Linked DNA regions of Macaca fascicularis. The protein of the gene in region 1 interacts with the protein of each later gene in a pairwise test. Links are inferred from orthologs where the notes say so. Each region holds a gene or a part of one and is shown on either strand. Other genes may lie near its edges.

Region 1 (3,743 bases):
GTCGCTCTGGAGCCCGTGGCCGTCCGCGGCCGTCCCTGAGAGGGTCAGGCCACAGCTCGACCTGCCCTGTGATCCCATCCCAGAATCCCAGCAGCAAGCAGGCTCAGGCTGGGCACTTCGGGGTACCAGGAGTAGGTTCAGCCAACTGGTTTCCCCCATGAGGCTTCGCGCACAGGGTTATCTGGCCACGGGGCAACGCTGGGGAGCCCTGTGGCCTGAGGGTGAGCAAAGGGCAGGCTCCCAGTTCCCTTGCGTCCAGCCCATCTCCCAGTGGCAGCCAGCCAGGAACAGGCCTGCGGGGCCACGGAGGTGGAGGCGTCACCGTTCGCAGGCCCGGAGCAGGATGGCCGCTGGGGGATGTGCAGGCATAGGGGTTGGCCAAGGGGCCCCAGAAGTGTCTGTCCTAAGGGGTTGGTCTGCCCTTTCCTCACCAGCCCAGCCCCTGAGGAGAGAGAAGGAGGCAATCCCCCAAACAGGGCAGGTCGGGCGGTTGCCCCTCCCTAGCACCCCCTACTCCCAAACACAGAAACCCTGGGGTCTGTCCTCAAACCTCCCTGGCTGCCACGCTCTGGGCAGCGGACTCTCCCTGCCAACACGCAAGACCAGCTTCCCTCCCACAGGCTGAGCAGAAAGAAGAAAGGTCCAATCTCAAAACCCTCGATTCGACCACCAGCCCCTGTCTAAACGGAAGTAGGGCCAGCCCCTCACAAGTCAGGTGGGAAACTGGGCCCAGGGAGAGAAAGTGCGCCAGGGCCAGGCTGGGACCCGCTGCGGCTTGGTCCGCATGCGGGCGGGCGCCTCCACGGAGGTCCCAGGGCGAGCTCCCGGGCCTCGACACCCGGCCGCCAGCCACGCGGACCCCAGCCTGCGCCCCGAGGGAGGCCGGGACCCCTAGCCGGCGGGACTGCGCGCCGCCCCTCTCCCCTCAGGTCCCGGCGAGCGCCTAGCTTCCCCTCCCCCGCTTCCCGCCTCCCGGCCGGTGTCCCCGCCTTCCCCGCGGGCGACGGGCGGCGGCGGCTGGAGGAGCGGGCCGAGCCGAGGCCGCCCCGGCCTCGCGCGCTGGGATGTAGCGAACCAGCAGGGGTCGAAGAACCGTGCAGTGCCAGAGCCAGAGCTGGATCCGGGTCCCACAGCCGGAGCCGAAACCTGAGCCAGAGTCCGCGGCGGGCGAGCCCGGAGCCAACGAGCCGCAGACACAGCGCTGCCCAGGTGGGGTAAGAGACGCTGGGCTAGGGGCGCAGGGTCTCCGCGTTGGAGGGGCGCAGGGAGGTGGCGGCCGAGTCCTGAGCAGTTTGCTTCTGGCGTGTGTGGGTCCAGCCGGCAGCGCCTGACAGCGCAAGGCGCGGAAGGTCAGGAGCCTTCGAGGCAGCGCGAGGAGCTCGTTCCTGCACCCAGGGCACAATCATAGCCGCCGTCACCGGGTGCTACCCCACCTAACTGGTGGGATCAACCCTCTGCTTTAGCTCCGGACACCCCAAGAGGGTAGCAGCCTCGGGGGCATGGGCCACGGCCCCGCGAAGGGCACAACCTGGGAAGCCGGTGGCAGCCCCTCGCGGCGTTGCGGGACGCAGGGCCCCCATCCCCAACCCCAGGAGAAGTGGGCAGGAGAGAGGGCCGTCCGCTGCTCCCCGCTGCGTCCAGCGATAGAGTGCCCCACCACCCATGGAAGTGCTGGCCCCTCTGCGTGGCCCGGGACTTCGGCCGTGGCTTCGCTTCAAGAGGGTATTTTTCCTAAACGAAACCGCTTCATTCGTTCGTTCGTTCGTTCGGGCAGCAATGCCGCAGAAAAGCAGGAGACGTCGGTCCGCGCCCTGGCTCTCTTCGCCCCGGACCCAGACGTCCCGTCGCAGCGCTCGGAGGTGCCCCCAGCCCATGGCGGCCTGCCCTCGCCGGCACAGGTCGGGCTTTTTCTTCCCAGGAGAGAAACCCCAAATTTCCTTCGTAACGTCCAATAAAGACATTCCCGCGGCTTCTCCCGGGTTTGGTTGTTGACGCAGGGTCCCAGAGCACTGCAGCCGCTTCTCAAGAACCGGGTCTCGGATTTCTGAAATTGACCAGCTTCGTAAATTGGAGCCTATTCTCCCGCAGCAAAGGGCCCCAAAGCTGGTATCGCAGTAATGGGAACCCCAGGCTGGAATCCGGGTCCCAAACTTTTCCGATTTAGGAATTCCCTGAATCTACAAATATTTAGTTCACTTTTCTGAAAAACTAAGGCTTGTGTATTCTCTTGATATCCCTGTGACCTCTGAAAGCCACCAGGGTCAGAGGGAGGAAATCCCAGGTTGCTGTCCACTAGGGGAGGATTCAGGTCTAGGGTTCAGGTCTAGGGTAGTCAGGGCAAAAGCTACAGGCAGCAGGGGCAGCACAGAAGACCTGCTGTCCCCGTACCCTTTCCTGGGGCTGCTTTGGGCCTCCCACCTCTCTTCCAGGGAAAGGAAAAGAGGTGGGCTGGGGCGTGGAGACCAGGCTGTCTGGACTCTAGGATGCAGAGGCCTCCAGACAGGCTCAGGGTGCTCTTCTCCCATGAAAGCAACCGCTGGGAAGAGGAGGCTATGGTGCATCCATAAGTTGCCCCTGCTCCCCAGTTGTGCGACCAGCTGCTACGCCCTTCCTAGTCTTCTTCCCCCCAGCTCAGCCATTCTCAGGAACCAGACAGCATCCATGGACTTAGGTGAGAGATGGGCTGGGGAGAGCCATGGGTCCTACCAGCCGCTGACTGAGGGGCCCACAGCACAGAGTCCTGAGTTCCATACTCCCATCTGTGCTTCACTGGCGGCAGTCCTGCCCAAATACATCCTGGCTGTCCCCAGGACAGGCTGGGGATCCCCAATTGGCAGGAAGCCTCAGACTGGGGTCCCAGGAAGCCTAAAGGAGCCAGTGAGGTCTTTCCAGCCCCTACCTGAGCACCCTCCTCCCCACTTACCCAGTAGTTGCTGTATTCAAAGAAACAGGAGCTTTTATTGGGGAGGGGGTATTAGATCAGGCAGAAAGAGGTAGGTGGTCCAAACCTGCACTCCCAAAACTGGGTTTTCAAGTTTGAACTTCTCCACAGACTAAGAGGCTTAGGGCTGGAATGTCCCAGAGAGTCATGGATAGCCCTGGTGGCAGGTCATGGCACATTCCTTCCTTTTTCCTAAAATACCTTGATTCTGGGAGCAAGGATTAGAGCAGGGTGCCCCCATGGGTGGGTAGAAGGATGGCCCCCACCCATAAAAGCCTTCCAACCACCCTGCCCAAATTACATTACTAAACCATTCTTGGGCACAGGCTGTTTTTAGTGAGCTAGGCTTCAGGAAGGGTCCTCGTGGTGACTACTTCAACCCCACAACAGCCCAGGTTCTTCTGCTCAGCCCAGCCAGGACCCTAAACTCCAAAATTCTTGAACATCACAGAATCATTGCTGGCTTTGTGTGGTCAGGGAGGGGTGGGGAACAGGGCACATGGTTCCAGCTCCACCAAGCCCCCTTCCCTCCTCTCTTCCTGTCCCATCAGCAAGTGAGCTGGACACTGAAGCAGCAGGCAGAGTCCGGTGTTGGACGTGGGAACTGAGGCTCAAGGCAGATCAAGTCTTTACCTTGAGGCAAACATAGGTCACCCAGCACAGCTGGGGGAACACAGAGCCTCTGCTTACTCCTGAAAGAGTGCTGTTTTCTGTCCTGTGTGTGTGACATGTCCCTGAGTGTGCAAGAAGCCCCTATCTTGACTGGGACAATGACCAGTGAGAGAGAGTAGCTGGGGAAGAA
Region 2 (3,743 bases), on another chromosome or scaffold:
GTGGCCTCCAGGTTGAACCTGCCAATTGACCAAAGGACACCAGACTCTGGATGCTTGGATGGAAAGGGAAAAATTGACCTTGTGATACTAATAAAACTGTTATCCTTTAATTATGCTCTCTTTAATATAAAATTTTATACCACAAAGGGGAAAGAAAACTGATTCAGGGCTATGATGCCCCTTGACTGGTCTGAGTGAAAGACACTGAGGAGGGTCCAACCTGTGGTTAAAGGTTGCCTGCAGATATGTAAGTCTTCTTGACAAGTGGTCCACCCTAGGTCAAGCTTCTAGAAAAGTTAACAGTAGGAATGAGCCTAAATGAGTAGGAAGAAACTGAAAGCCAGAAGAAACTGAAAGCCCATCCTGGCCCTTCTTCATAGGTCAAACCAGGTTCTAAGGGGGCTTAGGAGGAGGGCTGTCAATATGAGGATCTTTTATTAGAGGAGGAGTAATCACCCAAACAAAAAGCGGCTGCCTTTTCACTATTCCATGTCTCACCATTTTGCTCAAGCTAGTTTATTTTCAACCTTAACATTTGTTAAAGACCCTACTCACTTTTGAGAATGAACTAAGCAAACTAAAGGAAAGCTACTGATGCGTCTCTGCAAACACCAAGTAGGCTGTTACCTAATGCCACAGTCCTGTGCCTGTTTACAACATATCCCCATAAAGCATCACCTTAGAAAACCGCAAAGACTGTTCTGTTCGGGCGTGGAGGGGGAGGTCTTAAGCCAGCGGAACCCTAAAACCCAGTCTGAGGCGGATTGCCGCCGGGACCGGAAAGCGATCCTCCCTGACAGCACTAGGCTGAAGACTTCCGCCCCGCAGAGGACTTGCCTCCACCCCCACCTGCAAGTCCGCCTAGCTCTACTTCTGCGCAGGCTCCAGGAGTTGTTTGCTGTCTCTATGGCAACCCGGTAGCTGGAGTCTGAAGATGGAGACCAACGAGTCTACGGAGGGATCGCGGTCGCGGTGAGAGCCGCAGCTCTGGCTGCAGGCAGAAGGGGACGAGCAAGGTCAGCGGACTTCCTCTGCTGCGCTTTTGACAGCCTTGTCGTGTTTGCTTTCTTTCAGATCTTTAGACATACAGCCCAGCTCCGAAGGACTGGGGCCCACTTCGGAACCGTTTCCTTCTTCAGATGACAGTCCTAGGTCGGCCCTGGCAGCTGCAACCGCAGCAGCTGCAGCGGCTGCATCAGCTGCTGCAGCTACCGCAGCCTTCACCACCACCAAAGCAGCTGCATTATCTACAAAGACCCCAGCGCCCTGCTCTGAGTTCATGGAGCCATCCTCTGACCCCAGCCTTCTTGGGGAGCCCTGTGCGGGACCCAGCTTTACCCACAATATAGCCCATGGGAGTCTTGGCTTTGAGCCCGGCTATGTTTCCTGTATTGCTCAGGACCCTTGCACTACAACCGACCATAGTTCTAACTCTGACCTTGTTCCAGGCTCTAGCTCTGGGCCTGTTCTTGGCTCCAGCTCAGATGCTGGTCATGGCTCTGGCTCTGGCTCTGGTCCTGGTCATGGCTCTGTCCCTGGCTCTGGCTCTGGCTCTGGTCCTGGCTGTGGCTCTGTCCCTGTCTCTGGCTCTGGTCCTGGTCATGGCTCTGGCTCTCATCCTGGTCCTGCCTCTGGGCCTGGTCCAGGCACTGGCCCTGACTCTGAGCTCAGCCCCTCTATTCCTCCAGGGTTCAGAAACCTGGGGGCAGATCGAGTCCCTAACTATACCTCCGGGAGTCAGCACTGCCCCTGGGAGCCCCAGAAACAACCACCTTGGGAATTTTTGCAAGTTTTAGAACCGGGTACCCGAGGACTATGGAAACCCCCAGACATTAAAGGGAAGCCTACGATTCACTATGAAACATTGCCACGGGGCCAGTGCCTCCTCTACAACTGGGAGGAAGAGGTATTAAAGTTTTGGCCTGCTCCCTTTTCTTGAAGGCTGCCCTCAGTTTCTTAGGGGAGGCAGTAGTTCACATAAGGATGGGTACCAGAAGGGATATTATAGTCATTCAACTTGGGATCCACAGAGAGCCACCAACCACCTGGATCAAGTCCCAAGCATGCAGGATGGCTCTGAGAGTTTTTTCTTCCGACACGGACACCGGGGACTGCTGACTATGCAACTAAAGTCACCCATGCCCCGCAGCACCATCCAGAAAGACTCCTACCAGCCACCAGGAAATGTCTATTGGCCACTTCGAGGTGTGAAATGTGAGAGAGTGTAGGCCAGAACGAGTCCAATAGTCAGAGGGAAAAAGAGGAAGGAATTTCTGGTGGGGCTGTGGATTGTCCAATGGATATAAGGGCAGAACCCCCAAGGTCTTTCTTCCTTTTCTCAAGTTAGTTTCTTCTGGGCCTCCTTCTTAACCAGACCCCACCCTGCCCACCCCCCACCCTCTCACAGGGAAGCGTGAAGCCATGCTGGAGATGCTTCTGCAGCATCAGATCCGGTAAGGGATTGGGTAAAAGGGAAGAGGGAGGGGGAGGAGAAAAATTGGGTGAGAATGGCCTTGACACCTCTCGGGCTACATAGTAAAGAGGTACAGGCAGAACAGGAACCCACAAGGAAGCTCTTTGAGGTCGAGTCTGTGACACACCATGACTACCGAATGGAGCTGGTGCAATCAGGGACTCCTGCCCCAGCAAAGGTGAGAACCCACTCCCCACCCCCTGCCACTTGCACAGCTGGGCTCTGACAGGCTGTGGTCAAGTACCGGGCCCAGAGGTTGAGAGAGAGGGCTGAAGGCCAGGAGTTACTCAGTACCCTCCCTCACAGCCTCACGACTACCGCCAGGAGCAGCCTGAGACCTTCTGGATACAGAGGGCACCACAGCTACCGGTGTGTGAGGGTGACTAGGTATTGGGGGCAGAGCGGGGCAGGAAAGGTAGGGCAGAGTTGTTTTGTTCTGGCTTGGGGAAAGCGAGATCCATCCTCATCCTGGCACTCCTCCAGGGTGTCAGTAACATCAGGACATTGGATACACCTTTCCGGAAGAACTGCAGCTTCTCAACACCAGTACCCTTGTCTCTGGGGCAACTTTTGCCCTATGAACCTGAGAATTACCCCCACCAACTGGGAGAAATCTCTTCCCTTCCCTGTCAGAGAGGAAGGCTGGGTGGTGGAGGGGGTGAATGACTTCTGTCAGGGGTGAGGAGGGAAGTGGGATATGGAATATGGAATCTATTTCTGTCTGCACTAGAGAGGTCAGGAGGAAGTTAATTCTCACTGTACTTGAAGAGGCTTTACATAAAGGGTTCTCTCTCATCCCAAGACTGCTAATTTAGTGATTCTGTGAGTCACTGCGTGCATACCCCACAACCTTTCCTTGGGATTGCCCCATCCCACACTATGACATCAGAACTTTTTTTATTATTGTTTTATATTTGACCAAAATATTCTGGTTTAGATACAGATATTTACAGAAAGTAGGGAGGAAGGGGACCAAGCCAGAGAGGGACAGGTATATGTACAGGGCTGAGCTGCAGAGGGCTACAACTTCCATATAAGGTAGGTTTTTTGTGGCTGTTTTCCATTACATATGAAAATGTCCATTTCTGGTGTGTGCAGACATGGTGGCCACTGCCCACCCAGGTACCAGCAGCAGGAGACTGTCTGACTTGGGAAGAATGGGGGTTTACAGGAGTCCAGGAGGTCCTTTCCGCTCTCCTAAGAGCCAGTATGTTCGCATCTTTCCTTTTCCCTGGAAGTGGGAGAGTGGACAGGATTCAGATGCTTCAGC
Region 3 (3,643 bases), on another chromosome or scaffold:
GCACCAGGTCAGTGAGCCCTCTGGTCTCTGCCCCAGATCCCGTCAGACCAGAGGAGGGGGCTGAGCCAGCTTCATTGTCTGCCCAGGGACCTGCACCCGTGAAGTCATCCAGCTCCCTGCTCCCTCCTCCAGCCTGTCCAGTCTGTTTTCCCAGAGTTCCCTCAGGGCTGGAGACAGGCAGGCCTGACTGCGGGTGTAGAAAGCAGCACTGCTCGGGGCACCCCTGCCCGGGGCCCAACTTTAGAGCTGAGCTCCATGGCACTAACAGAAACACAAAGACTTTCATTCTTAGAAAACAGTGGTTGGAAAGTCTGGTAACCGATTGGGATTTGGTAACTGGGAAGTGAAGATCCCCGGACTCCCCACCCACCCGCTAAGGATGGCAGTGAGACTGGAACAGGAGATTGGGATCTCTGCCCTGAGAAACCAAGGACAGCCCCACGGTTTCGAAAGCTCGGCTACCCCAGCCCCCCAAGGGAGCACCCGGGCAGGCAGCTGTCCCAGGAGTACACTCCTTTCTCCTCCCATGGGTGCTCAGAGTGCCTGGAAGTAGTGGGTGAGAAGGAGGATGTGCCCTATTCCTGGGGAGTCCTGGCCCCCCACTGCATCCTGGTGGGTCTAAGCCACCGTGAGGGCTGCCGGTGGCCCAGATGGAGCGCGGCTCTGCAGGTTCCAGGTCTCCAGGGTGATGCCTGGGGTGGGCCTTGGGCTCGGGGGCCCTGGGGCAGGTGGCTGTATGGCTGTGAGAAATTTCCACGGATAGCGCGTGGCCTCCCTTTCCATCTTGTTGGCCCCACCAGTGTTAGGGGCCGGGAGAGTCTGGTTCTCCCCTGTCCCTTTACAGATGGGAATACCGAGGCCCCCAGAAGGGAGGGCGTGTTCAGGTGACAGGGTGAGGGTCAGGGCCGTGGCCAGAACCCAGGACTGAACCCAGACAGGAAACTCACAGGAAGGCATTCGTGGGGCCCTCCGACCCCTGGAGTTGAACCCTGCAGGGAGAGCCTCACGGCCAGCCTGGGGCCGTGTCCCCATGGAGGGCAGGGCTCGTGGGCCCCAGAGTAGAAACCCCAGCCTGACCTGAGCGTCGAGGCTGCTCCAGGGCAGACAGGATGCACAGGGCCCTGAATCCAAGTGCTGTTCTGCCATCCAACCCCAAGGCCCTGGGCAGGTGCTGTGACCTCTGAACCTCTATAATTCCTGTAAGCGATCTGGAGACATGAGTGTCCGTGAGAAGTAAATGAAATAATGCAGGTAAAGCTACCCGGTATTCAGTAAGCGCCCAATAGTGGTGGCTCATACTGGCACGGCAGGGCCACACCTTCAGGTGTCTCCCAGGCACACCTGGGTCACATTTCCCCGCCCTAACACTGCTCTCCTTCTTGTAGGACTTCTGTGTAGCTCCAGGCCCTGCCCTGCCAGGGGCCCACACCCCGCAGAGCCCCTTTGTCCTGGCCCCCAATGCCACCCACCTCGAGTGGGCTCAGAACGCCAGCTTGGCCCCTGCGGCCTGGCCCCCTGCACACTCCCTGCGGGCCTGGCTGGCCACACCTGGGAGGGCCTGCACCGACACCTGCCTGGACCACGGGTTGATCTGTGAGCCCTCCTTCTTCCCCTTCCTCAACAGCCAGGACGCCTTCCTCAAGTGAGTGTGCCCCCCACCCAGCCCCTATCCTCACTGGCCCAGCCGGGCTCACTGAGAGCTCTCACACCTAGAACCGGCCCTCAGCCCTGCCAGTCGGGGGGATTTAATGCTTTCCAATGAGTCAGGAAGGATCCAGAAGGGATCCTCCAGGCCATTATCCAGGTCACTGCTGCCCTACTCTTGGCCAAGCCCTAAACTACCAGGGAAAGCTCCTTCCAGTGCCTGCCGTCTTCCACCCACTCAGCCGCCTACACATCCTATTTGGGCATTGTCCTATCCCAGACCATGAAAACTGTCCCGGGTGCTCCTCCTACTGGGGCTGCCTGGGTCCCCAGCCCCTCCAGGCCAGGCCCCTCTCTTCTCCAGGGGTCCCTGGGTAGCACGTGGGATAAAGGAGCCGTAACACATCTCCTTACCCAGTCTGGGATGGGGATGGGCCAGAGAAGTGGGGCAGGCGGGTCTAGGCTCGGGGCAGCCCCTACCCTGCCCCAGCCCTTCTGCCCAAGTGACCAACGCTGAGTGACGGTGCTGTGCGGTGCCTGCCAGGCTGCAGGTGCCCTGTGACAGCACCGAATCGGAGATGAACCACCTGTACCCGGCCTTCGCCCAGCCCGGCCAGGAGTGCTACCTGCAGAAGGACCCTCTGCTCTTCAGCTGTGCCGGCTCCAACACCAAGTACCGCCGGCTCTGCCCGTGCCGCGACTTCCGCAAAGGCCAGGTGGCCTTGTGCCAGGGCTGTCTGTGAGTCCACCTCTGCCGCCCTGCCTGGCACCCATGCTGGCTCTCTCCTGCCACAGGAGAAAGCACCAGCAGGTTCTGAGCTCCGGCTGCTTGTCCTTCTTGCAACCCCTCCAGGCCGGAGCTTCCTTCCTTAGCCAGGAAGCTGGCAGAGGAGAGCCGTGCGTAGGAATAGGAGGAGGCAGCACGCTGAGCCCCTGGGACCTCCCAGGCAGGCTCCTGGTTCTCTCCTGGGGACTCACGGCAGCATCATGGCCAAGAAGATGTCGGACTACTCAGAGTCCTCATGGCCCAGGAGCAGGTGGTCGGAGGCCCCTGGCTTTGTGCAAGGCCAGATCTGGGCCAGATGGTGAAAGGGGCCCAGTCATTCTTGGGCCCAGGATGGGGCCTCTAGACTTGCAAGGGAGAGGAGCAGAGACCAGACTGCCCTGTGGTCCCTGAAGGGTCCAAGGAGGGGCCCTCCCCATGGCCCTGGAGAGCAGGCCTGGGTGGTACCTGCTCCAGGCAGGGAAACTGGGGGCTCGCCCTCCTCCTAAGAGGGAAGCCAGGCACACAGGGCCCACTGGTGTTTGGGATGTGGACAGAGGGGCAGGGGGCTGGGAGAAGGCTAAGCTGAGGAGTCCTGTTTGTGCCTCCCCTTAGCCCCTTCCCTCCCGATTTCCCGATTCCCCCACCCTCCTTCTACACTTGAGGACCACAGTTGGGGGTGCAGGAACCACCCAAACCCTAGTTGAATTGTTTCTCTCTCCTGCTTGTTCCAACCCTTTTCACTCTGGGCTTCTCCCAAAACCCATCCCGGCATGACCTGTGACTGACTCCAGACGGTGGATTTGTTCCAAAGCCTCAATCCCTACCCCCTCCAAGGGGCAGGTTTCCACCCCAGCCTCAGAGAATGGGCTCTGGGACCCCCGCCCGGGGGTGGCCTTCATGCACCAGGCACTTCCACAGGTGCTGACTCCCCAACTCCCCAGCATCTTTTGCAGACGAGGGCTTGGGATGGAGCCTTAGCCCCATGGTACGCCCTGCCCAGTTTCCAGTTGCCCTGTGTGCTTACCCCAGATAACCTCCCAGCCCATCAGTGCTGAGTCCTCATCCCTACCTCCAGCTTCCTCCGGCCTCAAACGGCCTCCAGATCTAGCCGTCCTTCTCCGAGTGGCATGCCTGCCCCGGGATGCCCCCTGTTCCTCCCCCCATGCCCAGAGCCCCGCCTGCCTCAGCGGGTCAGGCCTTCAGAACACTGCCACCCACCCAGTTTGATAATCC

The links.
Region 2: the proteins of PITX1 (region 1) and SPAG8 interact in binary tests that used the Homo sapiens proteins (3 or more experiments, as listed by UniProt). The link is inferred for Macaca fascicularis from reciprocal best matches to the Homo sapiens genes PITX1 and SPAG8.
Region 3: the proteins of PITX1 (region 1) and MGAT5B interact in a two-hybrid assay, tested with the Homo sapiens proteins (2 studies listed by BioGRID). The link is inferred for Macaca fascicularis from reciprocal best matches to the Homo sapiens genes PITX1 and MGAT5B.

What each region holds. Positions count from the first base shown.
Region 1 is NC_088380.1:141,576,050-141,579,792, reverse strand, and holds the start of PITX1 (pituitary homeobox 1), read left to right. Parts: upstream 1-1,027; 5' UTR 1,028-1,209; exon of another isoform or gene 1,210-1,214; intron 1,215-1,774; 5' UTR 1,775-3,743. UniProt on the Homo sapiens protein: Sequence-specific transcription factor that binds gene promoters and activates their transcription. May play a role in the development of anterior structures, and in particular, the brain and facies and in specifying the identity or structure of hindlimb.
Region 2 is NC_088389.1:63,589,982-63,593,724, forward strand, and holds SPAG8 (sperm-associated antigen 8), read left to right. Parts: upstream 1-923; 5' UTR 924-934; coding exon 935-972; intron 973-1,074; coding exon 1,075-1,906; intron 1,907-2,030; coding exon 2,031-2,205; intron 2,206-2,407; coding exon 2,408-2,453; intron 2,454-2,536; coding exon 2,537-2,651; intron 2,652-2,779; coding exon 2,780-2,842; coding exon of another isoform or gene 2,843-2,860; intron 2,861-2,956; coding exon 2,957-3,139; 3' UTR 3,140-3,268; downstream 3,269-3,743. Other genes in the region: adenosine 5'-monophosphoramidase HINT2, read left to right, coding at 1-16; NPR2 (atrial natriuretic peptide receptor 2), read right to left, coding at 3,639-3,704. UniProt on the Homo sapiens protein: Microtubule inner protein (MIP) part of the dynein-decorated doublet microtubules (DMTs) in cilia axoneme, which is required for motile cilia beating.
Region 3 is NC_088390.1:83,377,073-83,380,715, forward strand, and holds part of MGAT5B (alpha-1,6-mannosylglycoprotein 6-beta-N-acetylglucosaminyltransferase B), read left to right. Parts: coding exon 1-7; intron 8-1,385; coding exon 1,386-1,642; intron 1,643-2,188; coding exon 2,189-2,387; 3' UTR 2,388-3,643. UniProt on the Homo sapiens protein: Glycosyltransferase that acts on alpha-linked mannose of N-glycans and O-mannosyl glycans.